Macaca fascicularis: one gene and its partners. The protein of the gene in region 3 purifies or fractionates together with the protein of the main gene of each other region. This does not show direct contact. Links are inferred from orthologs where the notes say so. Each region holds a gene or a part of one and is shown on either strand. Other genes may lie near its edges.

Region 1 (4,227 bases), on a different chromosome or scaffold from region 3:
TATATTTAACTTAGAATATAAAGAACTGACTAGTGTAAAATTTTGAAAATCTACCACTTTATTTTGAAGGAAAGTATACATCCTTCAAAACTCCACCAACAATTCCTAGTCCAGTTTTCTATTGTACAGATTAAAAAGTTAAATTCCTTGTGGCACTAACCAAAACTTAAAAATTAACAGAAGACTGAATTAATTAAAAAAAAAAAAAGCATACTAACTAATCAAAACAATCCACTGTGCAATGAATATTTGAACAATGAAAAAAACCTACCAAGCATCCCAGTCAATTACATAGTTCTTGCTTCCATATTTTAATTTTGGACTTTCAGGAAGGTATATTATTAAACAGGTCGATTTTGTGGACTGTTTAAACCTTGTAGTATTTCAAAATATTACCCTTTCTAAACCAAATCTGTGGTCCTGGTCAACTTTTTTTTTTTCAAGAAAAAGAAAGGATATGTGTTTAAAATACATTCCGTAGCAGTAGAAACATCTTAGTGTCTCAAAATCTATTTACAAAGAACCCTGCTGATCCTGTGCATTTCGCTGAGGTGCTACTTGCACCCAGACTTCATCATCTGAAAAAGAACTTGAACTTCCTGACTCAGAGTCCAGCTCACTGAATCCATCTAAGTCCCATTCAGTACTAGACTCACTCCGTGCATCATCTTCCTCAGTAATAAAACTCTGACCAGGTTCAAGGCAGGAAGGATAAACACGGGCACAAAGGCAAATAAAGCCAGAGTCAAACTGCAAAAGGCCTAACATAGTACCTATATTAATCCACTGATCTTCCCTAGTATCATACTCATACACTGTTACTCGGTTCTTTTTCCATTGTGGGGTTGTAGAAGTGATGAGAAGCAACTTTCGGTCATGATTGACAATCTGGTAGTTGTGGGTCTCTGAATCCAAAGGAATATTACTAATCCGCCTCCATTCTCCCCTAGCTGGGTTGTAGACCTTCATGACTGGGATGTCACAGATACAATAGATTTCATCATTGAAGACACATGCTTCCTGAAAGTCACTGCGTTTAAGAGAAGCACAGTTCAGCCACATATTGTGGCTAGGATCATAGCAGAGCATGCGCTTACTGTTGACAGCATAAAGATAGTTCTGAACCACTATGAGTTCAAAGGAATAGAAGGAATGAGGGACAGGAGCCACCAATGCCCACTGGTTTCTCTGAACACTGTAGCATTCCACTTCCTTCAACTTAACTCCAGTAGTAGGGTCTCGCCCCCCCAAAATGTAGATGTAGCCATTGAGATATGCCACATCCATGCCCTCACGACACAGCAAGCGATCTGCAAGTTGCTGCCAACTATTCTGAGCTGGTTTATACACCCAGAGGTCTTTCCTTGGCTGGGCAGCTAGATAGATGTCATGGTCTGGGGAGACACAGACAGCTGAGGAGGTAACAGTCTTAGTGTGAGCAAAGCTGGTCAAAGGTGATGGCATTGTGTAAATGTCCCCTGAGTAAGGGTCATAGCAGAGAAAGGGATCTCTCGGGTGTCCAAAGAAGATCACCATCTCCTTGGCACACATACCCAGTCTCTGGGGTGGATTTTCTGCTGCAGATACAAGAGAGTTGCTGCTGCTACTGCTGCTGCTGCTGCTGTTTGGCACTGGCACCAGAGACTTGTACAACAGGTCACCATAGCGCATCTGCAGGGCCCCTTCAATAACGTCCAGGCAGTACTTCTTCACGATGGGCTTGGTCAGCAGCCCTTCTAAGTAGTCCTGATCTTCTTCAGTGAAGTGCATCCAGCGCACGCACTTGAAGACTTCCGCAGCACTGGGACCCCGCTCCTTGGGAGCAGCCTCCAGCCACTGCACAGCTACATGGCATACAGTCCGCTCACTCTCTATGTCCAGACTATCCAAGCGCAGGACAGCCAGCAGCTGGGCCAGGGTCAGATCTGCTAGAGTCTCTTCCCGAATTGAACCCATTCGGCTGAGCTGCTTGAAGTTCTGAGCTATATAGGACTGGGCCTGAGATCGAAGCTTGTGATGGTCGAAGGCGTCTGCAAACTTGAGGATGGCGGTGCAGTTGGTCAGGTCAAGACGTCGGGCTAAGAAGGAGGCACAGGCTTCCCGCACATACTCCAGTTGCAGCATGTCGGAGGCTGCGTACAGGCGCTGCACATTGGCCTCGCTGAGAGAGACACGACCCGTGTAGCAGTAGTCGACCAACACCTCGAAGGACTCGGCGTCCACATCGTGCATGGTCACGCTGGCCTGCTGGCTCTCGTACATGCCACCTGTGAACATGCTCTTGAAGTAGGGACACGCAGCTGCTAGCACGTTGCGATTGCAGGAAAAGAGGCGACCCGTGCCAGGCCCGCTGCCAGGCGTCACCACCTCGATGGTCACATCACACAGCAGCCGCGCGTCGTAGAAAGACTTGAGCTGTGCCAGCAGGGCTGCAGAATGGGCCGTGTCCTTTAATTCCTCTGGACCCGTGAAAAAGGCCGAAACCGAGGGCTTGGAAATCCTCTTGGGCCGCCTCCCACCGCGGGGGCTGGCGAGGCGGCGAGAGCGCGGGGCGTCTTCCCGGGACTGCATGGTGGAGATGGCGACGGGCGCTGATAGCGAGAAAGGCTGCCGGACCCGGCTCTGGCTCCTCCTCAACCTTCCCTCGCTGACGCTAAGACAAGCCGCGTCCTGGAACAGACTGCGGCACGGGCCGCACTTCTGAATTCAGCCTTAGCCCGCGGTGAGGTCTCCCTTTATTGCGTAGACAGTGGCTGACTCACCCTCTCTCACTCCCGCGCCCTTTCTCCGCCTCCGCTCGCCCTCACAGGACCCGCTGGCTTGGAGCCGCGGAAGGCCCCACTGCCGCGCTGGCGATCCCGCTAGGCGCCCAGGAGAACTACCGCTTCCAGGTTGCCTTTCGCGCCCCGAGGCCTGCTGGGGCTCTCGGACGGCCGGGCGGGGACAGAGGGAAAGAAACCGCTTTGCATGTTGGGAGTAGTAGTTTGTGTAATATCGCGAGCTTTCCTTTCGCTGACTGCCCTAACAGTAGAAATTAATTCTGGATATGATGGTGAAGTGACGATGTCTCACTATTGTTGTCCAGGCTGGTCTTGAACTCCTGAGGGCTCAAATTATCCTCCTGCCTCTGCCTCTCAAAGTGCTGGGATTACAGGCGTGAGCCACCGGGCCCTGCCAGTATTTCATAGGGTTTTGTGTGATTGAATGATACGTTACATAGGATACTTAGATACATGTATTTTTTTGGTTAGAAGAACAATAAAGCGTTACCCCGTGCCTAGAATGTAGCCAATAATTGTTAGATTCTCTTTTATAATTTATGATAAATGAGGCACCCACTAATTTGAAACCAAAAAATTTTTAAAATTTTTAAAATTATTTTAAACCGCAAAATTTTACAAAGAACTTAGTTTTTAATTTTTATTCTTTTGAAAGATTTTGAAGGGCATTAACTATTTTCAATGTTAAATGGTACGTATTGGCCTTGTTTAATAAGGATGTCTTAGACGACTAGGTTGAGGTCCTAAAGAACGGTGTTAATAGATGGCCTCAAATATGCAAATCGGGCATATAAAAATAGATTATTTGCTACTCTCACTAACATTTCATCTCTGGGGAGCAGGAATATTTTCATTAAGCTCCAAATATGAGTGTTTTCAAGTCGTCTAATACAGTCTCTTTCACTGCCATTCCACATATCAATTAACAGATTCTGTAATTGCCTTTATTAAGGAGTTTTAGGGAGTATTTAACTCAAAATATTTCAAGAAACAGACTTTGTTCTGTACAAAAGCACGTGATTCTCAGAATTCAGCATTAGTACATGCCCTGACATTCCTTGAATTAACATACAGTATAGCCTATGCTTTACAAAAGTCTTTTATATTTGCATTGATCAACAGTTAAATCATCAAAATCAAGTATTAGAGATTTGAGGCAGGAAAATAGGGTCTGGAGGCAGGGAACATAAGGCCGATTCACACTTTAGCTATAACAAGAAATACCCTCTCCATAGGGTGTATGCCGAGTAAATGAGTTTGTAACTTTAATTCATTCTCTTCGTTTACATAGGGTATACACCAAGTAACCAGTGAATCCTCTAGAGGGTATTTAAACCTCCAGGAATTCTGTAACAGGGCCCTTGAGCCCTGTGCTGGGCCTGCGCCCACACTGGAGTGTACTTTCATTTTCAGTACATCTCTGATTTTGTTGTTTCATTCTTTCCTT
Region 2 (3,565 bases), on a different chromosome or scaffold from region 3:
CTCCCTAGTCCCTGGAGGCCTCCCCAGGGCCACCCCCGCCGGCAGCAAGGAAGGTGGCCCGGCAGCGGTCTGGAGCAGCGGAGCCAGGCTTTGTAGCGAGGTCAGGTCGGCGGCAGCATCCGGTTCGGAGAGTGCAGATGCAGGAAGGCCCGGCCTGCCGCTATTTATAGTGCAGCAAGTCTGCTAAAAATACACTGGGCCTGGGCACTGCCCGCCGGGACATGGCAGCCTGGACGTGGGGCTGTGGCCAGGGCCGTGGGCGTTGCTGGTGGGGGTGACTCCTCCAGTGAGGGCAGAACCAGGCCGGCAGGAGGGGAGGACGGTGTGCCTGCTGCTCAGAGCCCGCAAGGCACTCCTGTGAGCGCCACCAAGCAGGACAGAGCAGCTCTTGTCCCAGGTTCCTCGGGCTGAGCGCCGTGTCACCAGGAGAATCGTGCTCGCGGCCCAGGCAGGGCGTGTGGCTCCTGGATGGGCTTGTGGGGCGGGTGGACAGGACACGGGCTCCCAGAAAATAAACTACTTTATTGGAATTGCAGGAGTGTTGGTGGCCGGTGGGCAGAGCCTAGTGGGGGGTGCAGCCACCAGGGCCCGGGTGTCCCAGCTGTTGCTCAGGAGCCGTGGGTCTTGCAGGAGTGTGGGGGGATGTGATGTGTGGGGGCAGGTGCCCCAGCCCTCCAGCTGTAGCTTCCTAACCGAGGTTCTACAAGTTTCTCAGGCTTTACAGTGTGTAGTTGGGAGAATATGATGGAAGGGTGAACCCGACTCCCTTTAAAGGAACGAATCCACAAATCTACGGAGCTGCCGGCACCCGGAGGCAGCAAGGTGCAGATGGGGCACAGCCTCTGCCGGCCCGGGCCGCTGCGCTCCCGCCCAGCTCTGTTGCGTCTTCCATCACAGACGTGTTTTTTCCCAGTGAAAAGCTGGCTTTGCTGCAGCTGACTGGAAGATTCCAGAAGGTGCCTTCCTGCAGCAGCACGCTGGTCCTGGGGCCCAGGCCCGTCAGGGGTCGTCGTCTGCCTCTTCCACCACCTCCTCGTCCGGCTCCCTGGGGTCCTCCATGCTGTTGTGGCGGACCCGCTCGGGCACCGTGCGTGGCAGCGGGAGACCCAGCCCCTGGTGCACGGCGTCCACAGCCCGCGGGCTCACGTAGTAGGACATGTTGGCCAAGGGAAGCCGCCGCCGCATCTCCTCCAGGAATCTGTAGGCCTGGGGCAGAGGAGCAGATGTTACTCAGCTTTCCTCAACAACCGGGCACGACTCTCTGCCCGCAGGCCAGGCACATGCTGCTGCCCCTGGAGGCGGGTGGGGTGCCTCCCTGCTAGAGGACACGGTGCACTGAGGCTTCCCAGTGGTGATGGGGGGATGCGGTGCCCGCGGACCGCACATGTGCCATGTGTGGATGGTTAACAGGAAGCTTCGGTTGGCCTTTCAGCTGGAAATGCAGAGCCAGGGCCCTGGAAAGTCCCCAGCAGCTGTGCACAGAGGCCTGCCCCCCCTGTGTGCGCGGGCAGAGCCTCCCGGGGCGGCAGAGGCCCTGTGCTTTGCACTCAAGTCTTGGGAGTGGACATGCATGTCAGACTGGAGGGCAGGCAGCAATATCTAGTGGTTTGTCTTGGGTATTATTATTTTTTTGAGATGAAGCCTCAGCTATTAAGATAGAATAAGCTTGTTGAATGGCCCCTCCCATCACCCGCAGTGGACCTGTATTTAAGGAAGGCCTCAGCTGGGGTGGGCGCTGGTGGAGTGCAAGCCTTCCACGCAGTCTCGAATCAGAGGGTGAGGGCAAACATCTACAACTGAAAAGATGCTGCCTCAGATGTTGACAAACCACTCTGCCATGTGCCGGGCACTGTGCTGGGGACACAGGGGACACAGGACATAAGGACACGGGAGAACAAGCTTGGCTAATGCTGTAGCGGGGAGTCCAGGTCAGGCTGAGGTCCTGCAGTGGCAGAATTCAGAGAAGGGTCGGCACAGGGAGAGAGGGAGAGGAAGGAGCTGGCCAGGGTCGAAGAGGGACCCTGTGGTCAGAAAGGGCCAGTGTCCTCCTGATGCAACCAGGGCCTAGCGTGTGTGACTGCTCTGTGCGCAGAGCTAGCTTTGGAGAGGGCAACGAAGTGGTTTCCAGAAGGCAGGCAGAGGGTGCAGAGGGCAGGTGAGGGGTGATGGGGGGCAGGACGGGTGGTGTAGGTGGGTGAGGGGCAGTGGGCGGGACGGGTGGCGTAGGTGGGTGAGGGGCGGTGGCGGGGCAGGACGGGTGGCGTAGGTGGGTGAGGGGCGGTGGCGGGGCAGGACGGGTGGCGTAGCTGGGTGAGGGGCGGTGGCGGGGCAGGACGGGTGGCGTAGGTGGGTGAGGGGCGGTGGCGGGGCAGGACGGGTGGCGTAGGTGGGTGAGGGGCGGTGGGGGGCAGGACGGGTGGCGTAGCTGGGTGAGGGGCGGTGGCGGGGCAGGACGGGTGGCGTAGCTGGGTGAGGGGCGGTGGCGGGGCAGGACGGGTGGCGTAGGTGGGTGAGGGGCGGTGGCGGGGCAGGACGGGTGGCGTAGGTGGGTGAGGGGCGGTGGGGGGCAGGACGGGTGGCGTAGCTGGGTGAGGGGCGGTGGCGGGGCAGGACGGGTGGCGTAGCTGGGTGAGGGGCGGTGGCGGGGCAGGACGGGTGGCGTAGCTGGGTGAGGGGCGGTGGCGGGGCAGGACGGGTGGCGTAGGTGGGTGAGGGGCAGTGGGCGGGACGGGTGGCATAGGTGGGTGAGGGGCGGTGGCGGGGCAGGACGGGTGGCGTAGCTGGGTGAGGGGCGGTGGGCGGGACGGGTGGCGTAGCTGGGTGAGGGGCAGTGGGCGGGACGGGTGGCATAGGTGGGTGAGGGGCGGTGGGGGGCGGGACGGGTGGCGTAGGTGGGTGTGGGGCAGTGGGCGGGACGGGTGGCATAGGTGGGTGTGGGGCAGTGGGCGGGACGGGTGGCGTAGGTGGGTGAGGGGTGGTGGGGGGCAGGACGGGTGGCGTAGGTGGGTGAGGGGCGGTGGGGGGCAGGACGGGTGGCGTAGCTGGGTGAGGGGCGGTGGCGGGGCAGGACGGGTGGCGTAGCTGGGTGAGGGGCGGTGGCGGGGCAGGACGGGTGGCGTAGGTGGGTGAGGGGCGGTGGCGGGGCAGGACGGGTGGCGTAGGTGGGTGAGGGGCGGTGGGGGGCAGGACGGGTGGCGTAGCTGGGTGAGGGGCGGTGGCGGGGCAGGACGGGTGGCGTAGCTGGGTGAGGGGCGGTGGCGGGGCAGGACGGGTGGCGTAGCTGGGTGAGGGGCGGTGGCGGGGCAGGACGGGTGGCGTAGGTGGGTGAGGGGCAGTGGGCGGGACGGGTGGCATAGGTGGGTGAGGGGCGGTGGCGGGGCAGGACGGGTGGCGTAGCTGGGTGAGGGGCGGTGGGCGGGACGGGTGGCGTAGCTGGGTGAGGGGCAGTGGGCGGGACGGGTGGCATAGGTGGGTGAGGGGCGGTGGGGGGCGGGACGGGTGGCGTAGGTGGGTGTGGGGCAGTGGGCGGGACGGGTGGCATAGGTGGGTGAGGGGCGGTGGGGGG
Region 3 (3,594 bases):
ACCCAATAGATATTCATTATTGGGCTTCAGTTTTCTCATCTGAAAAGGGGATGCTTAATCCCTTCTCATTATAAAATTATTTTTGTAAAAAGGAAAGACTACAAGGGACCTTTGAAATGTATGGGAATATTTATGGAAATGAGAGCTCCAACTAGAAGAAAGGCTATCAATCATCACCAACTATGAAACGGAGGTGGAGTAGAGGGCTGAGTGACAACTCTGTCAGAAGGAGACGGTGGGAACCGAAAATAGTCAAAAAGAGAGAAACAGTCATCTATGGTAGCTAGTAGTTTAGATTTAATTATCTTCTTTTTCTCAGGCAATAGTATAAATACTACCATTGCTGACAATTACCAACATTCAGATGTAAAAGATGCTTAATACTGTCACCCCCGTGAGGCCCTAAGCCGTGAGTAATTTGGAGTCATGTGGATTGTTAACCACAATGAAAAGAAAGGAAAAGATGACAAATGAGTAAGAAGACAAATTGCCTTAAAATCTTTGCCAGTCCTCACCATGCTTCTGGAGACTCTCCTGAAGTCCTGGCTTGGAAGCCGTGCCCACGCTGTTTTCATCTTCTTCCAAAGCAGGGGAGCTTACTGACGGAGTGCGAACCTCATCTGGTTTCAGGACAGCAGCTGGACCATCAATACCTAGGGGACAAAATAAAATGAATTTTAAAAAAGGAGCAAAGTATTATTCACTATTTAGTTGGGTGGATTTGGCATATGTGATCAGAATTAAGAACTACCGAATCACTTTATCTCCCCTCCTTTCTTAACATCCATAAGAACATGTGTTAAGAGAGTAGGTCAGAACTGGTGTTTTTTCTCTGAGACAGGATCTCACTCTGTCGCCCAGGCTGGAGAGCAGTGGTGTAATCACAGCTCACTGTAGCCTCGACTTCCTAGGCTCAAATGATCCTCCCACTTCAGTCCCCCAAGTAGCTGGGACTACAGGTGTGTGCTACTACGCCTGGCTAATTTTTAATTTTTTCGTAGAGATGGAATTTTGTTATGTTGCCCAGGCTAGTTTCAAACACCTGGCCTTAAGCGATCCACCTGCCTGGTCTCCCAAAGTGCTGGGATCAGAGGCATAAGCCACCATGCCCAGCCTGGTGTTCATTTTATTAACATGCTCTGTTACTAAAGTAATATGTACTTGTACTTTAGTAACTGAAGTTATATGTACTTCAGAAACTTAAGAATGAGACCAAGAAAACAAAGTAGGTCCTCCATAGTACAGATCCTGTCCAAGCCAATAGCTCAGGTGGCTTGATTTAGAGGAACTTACAATCTTATTCTTCCTCCACCCCTTACCATCTCAGATGGTCCTTTGAACTATCTATTGGAAGAATGGATGCTCTCTACCTATTCTTGGCTTCATGATTCACCTCTGCCATGATTTAACAATCAAAAACTCCTCAAATAGGTCATTCTAAACTATTCATCTGGCATCTAGAAAACAACAGTTCTTGCCGGGCACGGTGGCTCAAGACTGTGATCCCAGCACTTTGGGAGGCCGAGGCAGGTGGATCACCTGGGTCAGGAGTTCTAGACAAGCCTGGCCAACATGGTAAAACCCCGTCTCTACTAAAAATACAAAAAAATTAGCCGGGCGTGGTGGCAGGCGCCTGTAAACCCAGCTACTCAGGAGGTTGAGGCAGGAGAATCACTTGAACCCAGGAGAAGGAGGTTGGCAGTGAGCCAAGATCTTGCCTTTGCACTCCAGCCTGGGCAATGAAAGCAAAACTCCATCTCAAAAAAAAGAAAAAAGAAAAGAAAACAACAGTTCTAAAATGGACACAAACCTTAAGGCATCTTGCACTGATTATATTGCTTTTATTCTCCTCAAAGACCCCAAATGTGTTTATAAAGATTTGTGAAGGTACCTAGTAATGGTGCTAATAATATTGTCCCTTTGGTCCGTCTGAGAATCCTCCTGCCTGCTAGGTTTGTGAAAACTGTACCCCAGCAGGAAGTGATGCTGCCTAAATACACACCATGTAAGATGACATTGCTGTGGGGAGTATGACAGTTCACCAAGGGAGTCTGCTCGTCACTGGCCCTTGGCTTCGCCCGCCGTAGCCTGGCTTCTGGATTGGGCTGCACCATAAACGGCTCAAGGCGCTTTTTCCTCTGCCTCTTCTCAAGTAGTAGCCTCTGGGAAAAAAGCGATATGATAGCCAGCAAGTAGAGTTTTGACATGACCTAGCCACTTCCAACATTTAGTTTGTTTTTCACTGATCCTCACAAAACATCTTGTAAATTATTATTTCCCCGTTTAAGAAATGGGAAAACTGAGGCACAGAGAGGAGTAAGGATTCAATCATTTCATTTAACAAATACTTTTGAACACCTAACACCTATAAAGATCTATTTAAAATCACATGATGCATTTTTTTTCTTTTTTTTTGAGACAGAGTCTCACTTGGTTGCCCAGGCTGAGTGCAGTGGCACTATCACAGCTCACTGCAGCCTCGACCTCCAAGGTGCGCCCGATCCTTCTGGCTCACCCTCCTGAATAGCTGGGACTACAGGTGTGTGCTACCGCGCCCAGCTAATTTTTGTATTTTTGTAGAGACAGGATTTCCCCATAATGCCCAGGCTGGTCTCAAACTCCTGAGCTCAAGCAGTCTGGTGCCTTGGCCTCCCAAAGTGTTGGGATTACAGGTGTGAGCCACTGCACCTGCCCCACACAATGCATTTCCAACCAAGTCTACTAAAGATGTATGGGAATCATCACAGCATTATCACAATGTGATTACAAGCTCAAAACATACAAACACACATGCACGGGGGGAAGATGGAGGAACAGAGCAAGGGGGGTTTCTTCAGGTGCTAGACTATGGCATGATTATTTTCTCTTTTCTAGTCTTTTTTTTTTTTCCAAAGTTTTCTCACTTTTGTAAATGGAAGAAAAAAACTTTATTATTCTCTAAAACTCAAATTATTTCCATGTTCTAATTAGTCAAAAAGCAGTAAGTTTGGCATTCTTATTTATCTTATATAATATTAGAAATCAAATTTGGATCAAGGGTGAGAAGAAAAAAATGGCAGTTGGAACATACCAAATACAAAGCGGTCAACTCTGAATAAAAGCAAGATAAAGACTATGGTAGCAAGAAAAGTCAGGAAAAACGGATGACAGACCCTGAGAATAAAAAACCAACGAAATGGAGAGTACTAGCACATAGTACTAGTACCTTTTGGCAAATAAGGGCTTATAATATATAGCAATTATTATGGATCTGGGATAACTCAGAATAGGAAACATGTGAAGCCCCATGCTAAAAAATAAAGACATGATTAAAAAACAAAGATATCATAACCCACTTACTACTGTTTTTCAGGCAAAAGAAGCCATCTGTTTACTTTTTTCCATTGATACTGTTTCTAAAAAGTGCCTCCAGGAAGAAGAGTCACTCCAAGGGGCGAGACTATCAAAAAAGGAAGTGTGTTTTTCCTGAACTGGCCTGATGAGAGCACACTGATTAATTCAATAGCTCGTGTACAGAGGGAAAAGACTGGGGAGTTAAGATAACGTGCCAATACGGAATATACCATCAAGAATGAATAGGTGTTAGAGCAAGGA
Region 4 (3,594 bases), on a different chromosome or scaffold from region 3:
GTTTCCACTTAGCAGCCTTAAGTCCTGTGAGGCAGAGTACTGGCCACGGAGGTGAAAATTGAAGGTCCTGAGGATGGTACCTTCCTGAGCAAAAAGGAGAAGATCCCCCTGACTTCTCATTTCCCTACTTCTTCCTGCCTGGAACGAAGACGTGATGTCTGGGGGTGTGGCAGATGTCTTGCCACCATGAGGAGGAAACCTCTATGCTATGGATGGCAAAGCTGGAAGACAGGGGCATCTGGGTCTGGTGGCATCAAGGCACAGTGACACCAGCCCTGGACTGTGATGCCTTGCATATGAGTCAAATAAATACTGACTTGGTCAAGCTGCTGTTAGGTTTTCTGCTGCTTGGAGCTGAATACAATCCTAATTGCTATGCCCGCCTTTTTTTTTTTTTTGACATGGAGTCTCACTCTGTTGCCCAGGCTGGAGTGCAACAGCACAATCTCGGCTCACTGCAACCTCCGCCTCCAAGGTTCAAGTGATTCTCCTGCCCCAGCCTCCTGAGTAGCTGGGACTACAGGTGTGCGCTACTAGGCCCAGCCAATTTTTGTATTTTTAGTAGAGATGGGGTTTCATCATATTGGCCAGGCTGGTCTTGAACTCCTGACCTCAAGTGACTCGTCCACCTCAGCCTCCCAAAGTGTTGGGATTATAGGCGTGAGCCACTATACCTGGCCCCCTGCTGTTTTCTTATTGAACCCGCACATTGGCAGCTACATTTTGGGAAATGCCTTTGAGAAATGTGATTAGATAGCGAAATAGCTGTCTCTGCCTACCTGACCATTCCCTCGATCTTCTTTTTGTATTTGGCATCTATTTTGCTGCGGTATTCAGGCCTCATCAACATAGCTGCGAAGCTGAAAGCAGAGTTCTTCAGGCCTGCCCTGTGGCACTCAATCACAGTTGACGTCAGGATTGGTACAATGTCTGCAAGAGAAAATGGGAGAGCAGTAAGGGCACAGTGTCTCCTGTCCTCAGTGATACAGGCGGGACTCCACCCTGGTTCTGTAGGAAAACAGGGTCATAGCCTCTGAACTTTGCTTTTTCTGCAAAGAACCAGATATGATCTGTTTAATGAGGAAAGTACGTAGCCGTGGGGTCAGGCTAACTGCCCATCAATTGCTTTTCCTTTGATTACACCATGTTCTGCCTTGTAACGCTGGGACCTGCATCCTTTGAGGCAACACTTTGGTGAGTTTCCTTTCACACCTCTTAGATACATTTTTTTGCATCTGACAGGACTGCTGATAAAAGCATAAGGGGGATTAATGACTTTATGCACTAATCTCTCTGCAGGCATCAAATTCTTTCTTCAGGACAGACACCCAGAATTACTGGCTCAAAAACAGGACCTTTTAAAAAATACTCTTACCACAAATTGCCAAACTGCTTTCTGGAAAGGCCATACCAATCTCCATTCCCACCAGCAGTCATGAGAGTGCTTGTCCTATCCAACACTTTGCCCGCATGGTAGACTTTCATGTAACGATGACGACAAAAATACACTTAAGAGAATATGGGTTGGCCAATTATGACCCATGGACCAAATCTAGCCCTCTGACTTTTTATATGGCCCATGAGCAAAGTATGATTTTTACATTTTTAAATGGTTGAAAAAACATCAAAAGTATTTTTGTGACATGTTAAAAGTGTATGTGGTTAACATTCGTGTCCAAAAATAAAGCTCTACTGAAACACAGTCATGCCCATTGGTTTATGTATTATTCATGAGAAGATGGCAGAGTTGAGCAGTTGTGACACAGACCATATGTCTCACGAAGTCTAAAATATTTTACATCTGGCCCTTTACAGAAAAAGTTTGCTGATCCCTGTCACAATGTGACAGGATTTAATTATTTAAGAATGCTATCATGACATGGCTTTAAGAATAGTGGGGCCTTTTCAGAGGCAACACCCTACTGTGCTTGTGAACACAGAGTCAGACTATTATTAGCTGACAATGTGATCTCGGGCAAATGTTATTTCTTTTCTTTTGTCCCAGTTTGTGCAGAAAAGTACTTGTGTGTGCAGGCCTGAGACTGTCATCCTTGGAAAGGCTTGAACAGCTAACCCTTGGCTCGCATCTGGAACATAGATTTGGAGACGGTTCCCACCATTTCCAGAACTGATGAGTGGCTCACCGTGCCTAAAATCTTTGTACAAACAATGTGGTTTATGCTGAACACCTGCTCTTTGGGAGCCTGGAAAACTGGGTACATGCCAGGCAGGGGGTGCCTATGCGACCACACCCCAATAAAACTCCTGGCTGCTAAGTCTCTAATGAGCTTCTTGGCACTCTACGTTTCACCATGTTGTACAAGTCAGTCTTGGAGGAGTTACTGAACTTGCGTCCTGTGTGCTCCACTGTGAAGGGACTCTTGGAGGTCCGTGCCTGCACCTGCTCGCCTTTGGGCGAATCCTTCTGCTCATTTTGCCTCAGATGCTTTTGCTGTGGTAAATCTCAGCTTTGGTACTACCGTGTGTTGACTCTTGTAAATCCTCCCAGTGAAGAATCATCAAACCTGGGAGTGGTCTTGGGGCCCTGACATGCCACTTCACGGAGCTGCTGTGATAATTAAACGAGTTAGTGACAAGGGCCTGCACAAGGGGTGCCATGCACAAGGGGTGCCATGCCAGCGTGGGGCATGGGGCATGCGGCCTGGGGAGCCTGCACAAGGGGTGCTGTGCCAGCGTGGGGCATGGGGCATGCGGCGTGGTAAGTGGTACTTACGTGATGGAAATTTGCTGATGTTGTTGGCCACCCGAATAAGCATGCGAGCCCCTTTCATGTGATCTCCATTTTTAACATGAATCTGAAACAAATGACATATTTTACTCTTCTCATAGTCATTGATTAGCCCCAATTCATGGTTTGTTCCCCCAAATAACTCCTTGATTATGGCCCAGGATCACTGTGGGATCCTTGTAGACTTTCCTGGCTGATGCCACTGGAGATCCCTCTCTTTTTTCTCTTCAACAGCTGCTGCCTGGCTCCATGGCCTCACCTGCCTCACCTACTCTATGCTCTGCTTTTGACTTTGCCCTAGACCACTTGATATGGTTCAAATCCCCAGTCTATCTCTTACTGGCCATTCTTGGGGGACCAACTTCACCAAGTTGTGGTAAGACCTGAAAGCTGAGTGAGTCAGGAATCAGGCAGAAAGAAAGAGAATGATCTGCTAAAGGAAAGGGGCCCTGTCTGTGCTAAGAGGGCAATGATGGGCGGAAGGCCTCAGACTAGGCAAGGACCAGCAGGGTCAGTGACACATTGAGGGGTGCATTTAGGATGGGGTGAGCCTCGAGAGTCAGCAGGGGCAAGGCCATGAAGCCACTGCAGTCATCCAGGGGTGAGATAAGGAGGCTAAAAAGTGAGGCAGTGGGGAGGAGAGAAGCAGGCAGATGAGGGGTCAGGGCTGCTGATACTTGGTGAGAATGTGCAGGGTGAGTGTGGAATGACGCTAACGCTTGGGGCCAGAGAAAAAGAAAAGGATGAGAGAAGCACCCCTGTGGCTTATGGTGCTAGAAAGCTCTGTTGCAGGAGAGCCTCTGTCAGGAATTCCTATTTTTGCCCCACATCTTCCACCAATGTGT
Region 5 (4,290 bases), on a different chromosome or scaffold from region 3:
ATAAAGACATGTTGCCTATAGCAAGTACTTAGTAAATACTAGCTGGCATGAATGGAGAGTTATAGCAGATGCTAGCCTGACTGGAATAGCCTAATAAGGCATCCTGGTTGAGATGAACCTGGAGCTGTGCATTTAAGGGAGAAAACTAGGGAGTTCATAGAATAAGGGAGCATTTGGGAAGGATAGAGTTTTCTGCTCAACCTAAAAGTATAAATTTAAATGCTGCAAGCCTAGTGGGGAGGAGGGTCAGGAGGACCCTCTAGCAAAATGCACAATTTTGACATGGAAAGTAATTGGGAATCACTCTAGGTTTATGAGAAGTAGAGTAACAGGATCACAGCAGCAGGTCTTAAAAAAAAGAGAGTTCCTGCTGCTATGTGAAGGTTAAAATAGAAGCAAAGGAGCAGACTGGGAGACGACGGCTGATTTGGATGTGGAGGACTAATCTTTGACATCTAGGATTTTTTTAGTTCTACTACCTTTTTTTTTTTTTTTTTAGTTTTTTGTTTTGTTTTCATTCTGGGCCATCAGCTGGTGGTATGATGGTCTATAGAACCCTACATCCCTTATCCTAATAGGTTGTTTCAAATCTGTAATGGGCCAAAAACCAGACAACCAATCTTTATTTATCATTCATTCACTCACTTATTCATTCATGTATGAATACATCTATCCGCAGCATTTCATTTTATATATATCTAGTATTTTATTACTACCCATAGTAACAACAACCACTGACCTGACTAGGCTCTAGAATAATTTGGAAACGAGTAAGACATAGCCACTGCCTTTAACGGGTTTATGACTTCCGAAATAAACAGATTTAAAAAATTAACTCTTACACTCAACAGACTTTGGAAGTACCACAAGAGAGAAATGAACGAAATTCTGTGCCAGGGGTTGAAAACAGAGCAAATCGGGCTGCATTTGGCCAGCAAATGTTTTATTTGGCCCACACAGTGTTTTGTTTTGTTTTTTTTCAGAGTAGATGCTAACATTTAAAAATTAGGCCATTTCACATAAAAACCCAGATTCCTAGCTTCTGGTGAAAACAGGAAGAGCTGAGCACACTAGGCCAAATTCCTGCATGGTGGTAATTGGCAGGAGCTGAGCAGCAGCTGCCCCTTTTAGGACAAGCATGAGTTCTGCAGTTTGCCACACTCCTTGCCACACTCTGTTACTCTCTGACATTGAAGCCAAATGTTCAGTTGCCTATCATCAGCTTGTGATATAGGTACGTTTATAATAAAGTTAAAAATAAAATGATTTTTTAAAACTCAAATCTCTATTAAAAGTACAAATGAAAGATTCACTGATAGGGCTGTGTGTTTCAAGAAAAATGGGGTATAGAATACAAGACTATTCCTAAGGAAAACATACAATTCCTAGTGTTTAAGATGCAAATAGACATCTCCCATTTATGTTACCTGTCTATCTCCTGCAGACATTTGAGTTTGCCACCTCTGTAATATAAGGAAAAATTAATGTAGGGGCTGAGAGCATTGACGTTGGAGTGAGGAAGACCTGGGCTTGAAAGCTGGCTCCACCCCTCACTGTGTTACCTTGGCAAATTACCCACCCTCTCTGTGCTTCAGTTTCCTCATACATAAAATAGAGGAAATTATAGTACCTACCTCAGAAAGTGGTGAACAGAGACAACGAGATGAAGGATAAGAAGTGCTTAGCGAGACCTGGCACATAATGTCAGCTACCACTAGTGCTGAACACAAAAGAGAGGACCCGTCTCCAACGTGAGCCTTGAAGGATGTGCAGGATTTCCGTGTGAGATGAGGAGAGAGGGCATGCTTCACACAGAGAAAGATCTCAGAAAGGACTGAACCAAAGACAAGTAACCTGCTCCAGTGGCCAGAACAGAGGCTTCACAACAATGTTGAATGATTTTCAAAGTCAGGCCGAGACCTATCCCATAAATAAGTGTATGACAAAACAGACTATATTATAGATTTAGCCAATAACAATGGAATAGGACATTAAATAACTGAATCAAAAGGTGACAAAGTTATTCACCTTCAATTCTTTTTCAAACTTCCCAATTAGGAGAGCTTGTGTTTGATGCTCATTTTGAGCACCTCTCTGATCATACCTGCCAATCTCCAATTTTAGAGAAACGAGATACCAGGTTTAAAGGCTCCCTAGCAACAACAGCTAGCTACAGCCTGTTCAGTTTTGTTTCTCCCTACTTTAAGTTTTACTTTTACACTTAGAGCAAGTGACGCTGATTTTATCTTAACACTTAGAGCAAGTGACACTGGTTTTCATAAATGGAGTAATAAAGTTTCCTTGTAAAATGTGAAATCATAATTAAAATAAATGAGACAATTTAGAGAAAAACGTCAAGTAAACAAGAGTACGGGTACTATGTGGAAGTGGCAAGAACTGCGAAGCTTGAGCAGCTTCGTGCTGTGTCGTGGGTGTGAGACGAACCCAAGGCAGCGACAAGGCCAGACCGTGAGGGAAGAGCCGCCTCCACCGGCACTACCTCCAGGCGCGGCACCTCCCTTTGCCGCTCTCCAACCCTCAGGAGTTTCGCCAACCGCCAAGGGGCGGGAGGGTGACCCTGCAGTCTCCCAGGCCGGGGTTCAGTGCCCTCGGCCCAGGCAGCAAGCTCGCTGCCACCCTCAAACACGCTGCAGCGGCTCGCGCAGTCCCCGCTGGGACTCGACCTCCCGCTTTTCGCGGACCGCCCGGCTTCTCACCAGTGCTCGGCTTTATCTCTCCACGTCAACACGGCCCTCATCGCGGCTTCCCTTACGCCTCGGGCTCCTCCTCTCCGCCTCAGCGTCTGTCTCAGCAACCGCCTCACTAACGGTAGCCACGCCACAAGCCACTTTGGCTACCTGCGTTGCCCCTGGCAACGTACATGCGCGGTAAGCTGAGCGCGAGGTCGCCTTCCTCCGAGTGCGCATGTCCGAAAGGCAAAGCGAGAAAAGCAGCAAAAGCTAGGGTGGAACTGGAGCCCCTAAGGCATCTGCGCAACCAGAGCGCGCGCGATTGGTTGGGGTTTGTGGGGGCGGTGCGCCTTCCTCGACAATGGATTTGATTGGTGGAGCGTGGAAATGGCGGCTGTAGCCGAGGGGGCGGCCGAAAAGCAGGGGCGGCCGAAAAGCAGCGGCGGCGTCTGGGCCACTTTCGCAACATTCAGACCTCGGTTGCAGCCCGGTTCCGTGAGCTGAGGTTTCACATCTTACTCCGCCCCACACCCAGGGCTTCGCAGCGCTGGGCTCGTTGCTGCAGCCGGAGCCTGCTCGATGGGCACGACTGGGTCGGAGAGTCTGAACCTGGGGGACCGCGGAGCTGCCCCCACCGTCACCTCTAGTGAGCGCCTAGTCCCAGATCCGCCGAGTGACCTCCGGTAAATTACTGTTCCCTTTTGGGCCTCAGTTTCACCGCCTGTAAAACGGAATCGGGAGAGTGGACGGTGTGTGGGCCTTTCTAACCTTGGACAGAGGGTCGGCAGAGACCTCGAAGCCCACGGGTTTAGTTACTAGGGGCTGGAGCTCAGGTGCTTTTCCTGTGGGATCAGTCCTGGGGTGCGCCCGACTTCCTCATCCAAGATGACCAGGGAGACTTGAGGGGGAGCCAGGAGGTTTTGTGCAAGAGGTCCCCTTGAGTTGGAGGATCCTAGGAAGTTATTTGAGTACATGTATGATAGGAGGTTAAGATTTACCTACTTTTTTCGAAATTGAATCCTAAGAACTACTTTGAAAGAGGCATCACCTTCTTTTTACAGAAAGTATTTTACAGGGACTTTGAGATGTTAAGTAACTTGCTGCTAAACTTAACAGCTGGCGGAGCTGGGATTTGAGCCCCAGTCTCTTTAATAGTTTGTGCTGATTTCACCAGGCTTCAGTATCTTTATCTCTAAAATTGTAAACAGTATCATTTCATAAGATCTGCCCAGCTCCGCAAAATTATTTTACCCCAACTTACATCAGAAAACCTTGATTCTAATTCTAGTTCTTGCATAGTTTCCCTATTTGTAGAAAATAACTTGGGTTAAATGATCTCTCTAGACCCATCCAGCTTTTACAATCTGTGGTTTAGTGATTAGGATACACTTTACTGAAATTTTTCTTTTTTTAATTTTTAAATTATGTTTTCATCATAGAAGACACACTGGAACATTAATGAAGTTTTAGTTTAGTTTAGTTTTTTGTTTTTTTGAGATAGGGTGTCACTCTGTCACCCAGGCTGGAGTTCAGTGGCACAATCATAGCTCCCTGAAGCCTTGACCTGCCGGGCTCAGGCAATACTCCTGCCCCCAGCCTG
Region 6 (2,973 bases), on a different chromosome or scaffold from region 3:
GAGTGCTGGGATTTCAGGTGTGAGCCACAGCACCTGACCAAGTTACACATACATTTTAAGGGGAACACTGCTGGCCTCTTCAAGAGTACTTTCTCCCTCAAAATAAGTAGGTTCTCAGGTCAGCCTCAAAAAGTTGATACCAAATGTCGTCTGTAGTCTTTGGACTTAAAAGACCTGGCATCCAAGAACAGATTTTCAGTTAACCCAGCCTTTGTATCACATGGATTTTCACTATCCACCACTTCCTGTTCTCTCTCGAATCCCAAACTTCTGGTCCTTTATCATAGGACATTGTCACATCCTTCTTAGGCCCTGCCCTGCCTTTTCCCCACATTTTACTTGCTCAGGCCTCTAGCCTAAAATGGTTGAAATAGTTCTGAAATGCTTGGTGGTGATGCATCGCCTGCTATGATCAGCACCATCAGTGTTTGCAAGTACTGGTCTGGTGAGACTAATGTAATAAACTGAATGAAGAAATGTAGTATGAGAAAGAAAGCATCTAATACTATAGCATTCGAAGCTGTACAAATTCTGCAAGATTTAAAAATTATATACCTTAAACAATGTAAGTTAACAGAAAAAAAGTCAAATGACAGTTTTAATAGACTTTAAAACAGTGTACAAGTAAAAAAACACTGGTTTTGTATTTCAAAAGTTGAAGGAAGATATCCAGTCATTAAACAGTCTACAAAACATATGCCAGTAGATTACATAAAAGACTATGTACAATATAAAAAGAGCTGAAAACAGTCTTCACTGTAAAAATAATTTAAAACAAACTTTTCAATTTAAAATATTATCTATAGCACAAACACATCATGCAAATGGAAAACTAAATATACTGCATTCTTTAGTGTAGCCAAATAAATTCAGATTCAGACATCTTTTAAGTAGGGAAATGGCCATTCAGATACGATTTTTTTTCTCTGGCAGTAATGGTCCTAGCTGGGTATTTTATGCATAAAGAACAGCTATATTTCAAACCCTTTTTATTGTAATAAATACTAAAGCAACAGAGGAATACTTTATTAATTTGGGAGTAATGTTCAAAAATGGTCTGAAAAATAAATGCTTACGGTGCAATTTCATAAAGTATGAACTTCTTGAAAGACTAGAAGCTTTTGCAGCTGAGAAAGTTGATCTCTAGTTTTAAGGCAGGCTAAGCTTTTAAATAAAGATAAATTATAAGAACTAGTTTCATTCATTAACTATTCTGCTATTACAAGTTACATCATGTTCATCTCCATAATACTAGGCTAGCAGTTTGGTATTTAACACCAAATCCTCCCAATGGAAGGAGACATGTACTTTCTGGCTGAGTTATAATTAACATCTTATTACTTTGGAACTGTAATCAGGGGCCTGTTGCTCTCCTCATTAATGGAAAACAGCAGTCCAAAATATTACACTCTCCCCAGTAGAAGTACCATTATTATAGATTCGGAAAGGCTTTGCATATTCACATTTTGGCAGTTTAATACTTGTGGAAAAGATCAATGCAAGCTCTACCACAGTGATAGGTATTTAAACAACAATGGCAAATATTTCAAAACTAAGGGGATCCAGGCAGGCACTATTGTTTCTAAAGCAACTGAAACATTTCCAAAGCATTTATTTGTTTTTCAGGTTAGTTTTATGAGCCAATATAGACATTACTACATGTCCACAGGAAGTACAAAAGCCATCTTCATTTGAACATAAATACAATAATCCTGAAATTCTTAGCACCAAGTATTACTTTTAAAAGTAAAGACAACCGAGTGCCCTCCCACCTATTGTCGACTTCCTTCTACTCACATTGCATGTCATTTGAGATTTTAAAAAGTTAGCTGCCACAAGTTTTGGAAAATGCCAGTGTTTAAAAATAAGTAATTGTGTTAAAGAATCAAAAGTTTAGAGTTAACAGATTTTGAGTACTTCAAACCATTCAATGTTACAAAGAAAAGTGAAAATACCATTCTTTGGTCTAGATAAGCTGTTCCCTTTACATTAATTTAACATTCCGATGGCTTTTTGAAAACTTTAAAAATGTTGAAACTCACTAGACAAAAACAAAAATTATATATACATATGAATTTATCATACAAATGAATCTTTAAAAGAAAGTTAGTCTTGACCAACAGCTGATTAAAGATACTTAGTACCTTTTTTTTAAAAAAAAAAAAGTTAGTGTTGAATTTGTACAAGTACAGAAATAATGAAGTTAAAAATTATCCATGAAAAACAATCTATTTTACCAATCTATAAATATTACCTTTCTGGTTTCCTTGCTCTATCGAGTTCACAAGTAAACATTCATTTTGACATGCTAAAGTTCCTAATGCTGGTGGAACAATTCCTGTACCTGCACAATTATTACACTATGATTTGTTTGATGGATAGTTCATGTCTGTTACTTCCTGTTTCATAGATATAGCTTCATTAATTGCCTCTTGATCATCTCCATCAGTCCCAAATCCAGCTCCTCCAGCTCTCTCTGGAATATCAGGCTCATCTTCTAAGCCATTGTAGAATTCTTCAATTTCACTTTCATCCTCCATGGGTTCTTCTAAACTTGGACTCTGGCATGTCCCACTATCACTGTTACTGCCACAAGAACTAGAGGATAAGACGTCATCTTCAGAGTCTGAATATACCTCAGCGCCATGGAAAATGTAACGATTTGGTGGCAAAAACAGATACTGATTACCTGAAATATAATGATGAAAACGTTACTTTCAGTTTTCTAAGTCTGAGCAGTCTGGAATGAAGTGTGGGTACCAGCTCTGCCTTTTATAAGTGTCCTTATGAAAGACTACCATTAGTGTTTAAAAACAACTGGGAGGCCATGATGTGCCTGCAGTTCCAGCTACTCAGGAGGATGAGGCGGGTGGACTGCTTGAGCCCAGGAGTTCAAGGGCCAGCCTAGGCAACACAGTGATGGCCTGTCTCTTAAAAAGTAATTAAATACAAGCAATACACTTAGTCCTGGGT

The links.
Region 1: the proteins of TULP3 (region 3) and KBTBD7 purify together in Homo sapiens (affinity purification with mass spectrometry; 3 studies listed by BioGRID and IntAct, counting the BioPlex papers as one, with this or other methods). This does not show direct contact. The link is inferred for Macaca fascicularis from reciprocal best matches to the Homo sapiens genes TULP3 and KBTBD7.
Region 2: the proteins of TULP3 (region 3) and IFT140 purify together in Homo sapiens (affinity purification with mass spectrometry; 5 studies listed by BioGRID and IntAct, counting the BioPlex papers as one, with this or other methods). This does not show direct contact. The link is inferred for Macaca fascicularis from reciprocal best matches to the Homo sapiens genes TULP3 and IFT140.
Region 4: the proteins of TULP3 (region 3) and WDR19 purify together in Homo sapiens (affinity purification with mass spectrometry; 5 studies listed by BioGRID and IntAct, counting the BioPlex papers as one, with this or other methods). This does not show direct contact. The link is inferred for Macaca fascicularis from reciprocal best matches to the Homo sapiens genes TULP3 and WDR19.
Region 5: the proteins of TULP3 (region 3) and IFT122 purify together in Homo sapiens (co-immunoprecipitation; 6 studies listed by BioGRID and IntAct, counting the BioPlex papers as one, with this or other methods). This does not show direct contact. The link is inferred for Macaca fascicularis from reciprocal best matches to the Homo sapiens genes TULP3 and IFT122.
Region 6: the proteins of TULP3 (region 3) and SIRT1 purify together in Homo sapiens (affinity purification with mass spectrometry; 5 studies listed by BioGRID and IntAct, counting the BioPlex papers as one, with this or other methods). This does not show direct contact. The link is inferred for Macaca fascicularis from reciprocal best matches to the Homo sapiens genes TULP3 and SIRT1.

What each region holds. Positions count from the first base shown.
Region 1 is NC_088391.1:20,547,919-20,552,145, forward strand, and holds the start of KBTBD7 (kelch repeat and BTB domain-containing protein 7), read right to left. Parts: upstream 2,884-4,227; 5' UTR 2,572-2,883; coding exon 514-2,571; 3' UTR 1-513. UniProt on the Homo sapiens protein: As part of the CUL3(KBTBD6/7) E3 ubiquitin ligase complex functions as a substrate adapter for the RAC1 guanine exchange factor (GEF) TIAM1, mediating its 'Lys-48' ubiquitination and proteasomal degradation.
Region 2 is NC_088394.1:2,271,632-2,275,196, forward strand, and holds the end of IFT140 (intraflagellar transport protein 140 homolog), read right to left. Parts: intron 1,207-3,565; coding exon 1,000-1,206; 3' UTR 503-999; downstream 1-502. UniProt on the Homo sapiens protein: Component of the IFT complex A (IFT-A), a complex required for retrograde ciliary transport and entry into cilia of G protein-coupled receptors (GPCRs).
Region 3 is NC_088385.1:3,800,668-3,804,261, reverse strand, and holds part of TULP3 (tubby-related protein 3), read right to left. Parts: intron 2,163-3,594; coding exon 2,003-2,162; intron 654-2,002; coding exon 516-653; intron 1-515. UniProt on the Homo sapiens protein: Negative regulator of the Shh signaling transduction pathway: recruited to primary cilia via association with the IFT complex A (IFT-A) and is required for recruitment of G protein-coupled receptor GPR161 to cilia, a promoter of PKA-dependent basal repression machinery in Shh signaling.
Region 4 is NC_088379.1:38,553,502-38,557,095, reverse strand, and holds part of WDR19 (WD repeat-containing protein 19), read right to left. Parts: intron 2,817-3,594; coding exon 2,735-2,816; intron 931-2,734; coding exon 780-930; intron 1-779. UniProt on the Homo sapiens protein: As component of the IFT complex A (IFT-A), a complex required for retrograde ciliary transport and entry into cilia of G protein-coupled receptors (GPCRs), it is involved in cilia function and/or assembly.
Region 5 is NC_088376.1:153,970,188-153,974,477, forward strand, and holds the start of IFT122 (intraflagellar transport protein 122 homolog), read right to left. Parts: upstream 2,878-4,290; 5' UTR 2,759-2,877; coding exon 2,718-2,758; intron 1-2,717. Other genes in the region: MBD4 (methyl-CpG-binding domain protein 4), read left to right, coding at 3,270-3,373. UniProt on the Homo sapiens protein: As a component of the IFT complex A (IFT-A), a complex required for retrograde ciliary transport and entry into cilia of G protein-coupled receptors (GPCRs), it is required in ciliogenesis and ciliary protein trafficking.
Region 6 is NC_088383.1:78,647,387-78,650,359, forward strand, and holds the end of SIRT1 (NAD-dependent protein deacetylase sirtuin-1), read right to left. Parts: intron 2,690-2,973; coding exon 2,361-2,689; 3' UTR 571-2,360; downstream 1-570. UniProt on the Homo sapiens protein: NAD-dependent protein deacetylase that links transcriptional regulation directly to intracellular energetics and participates in the coordination of several separated cellular functions such as cell cycle, response to DNA damage, metabolism, apoptosis and autophagy.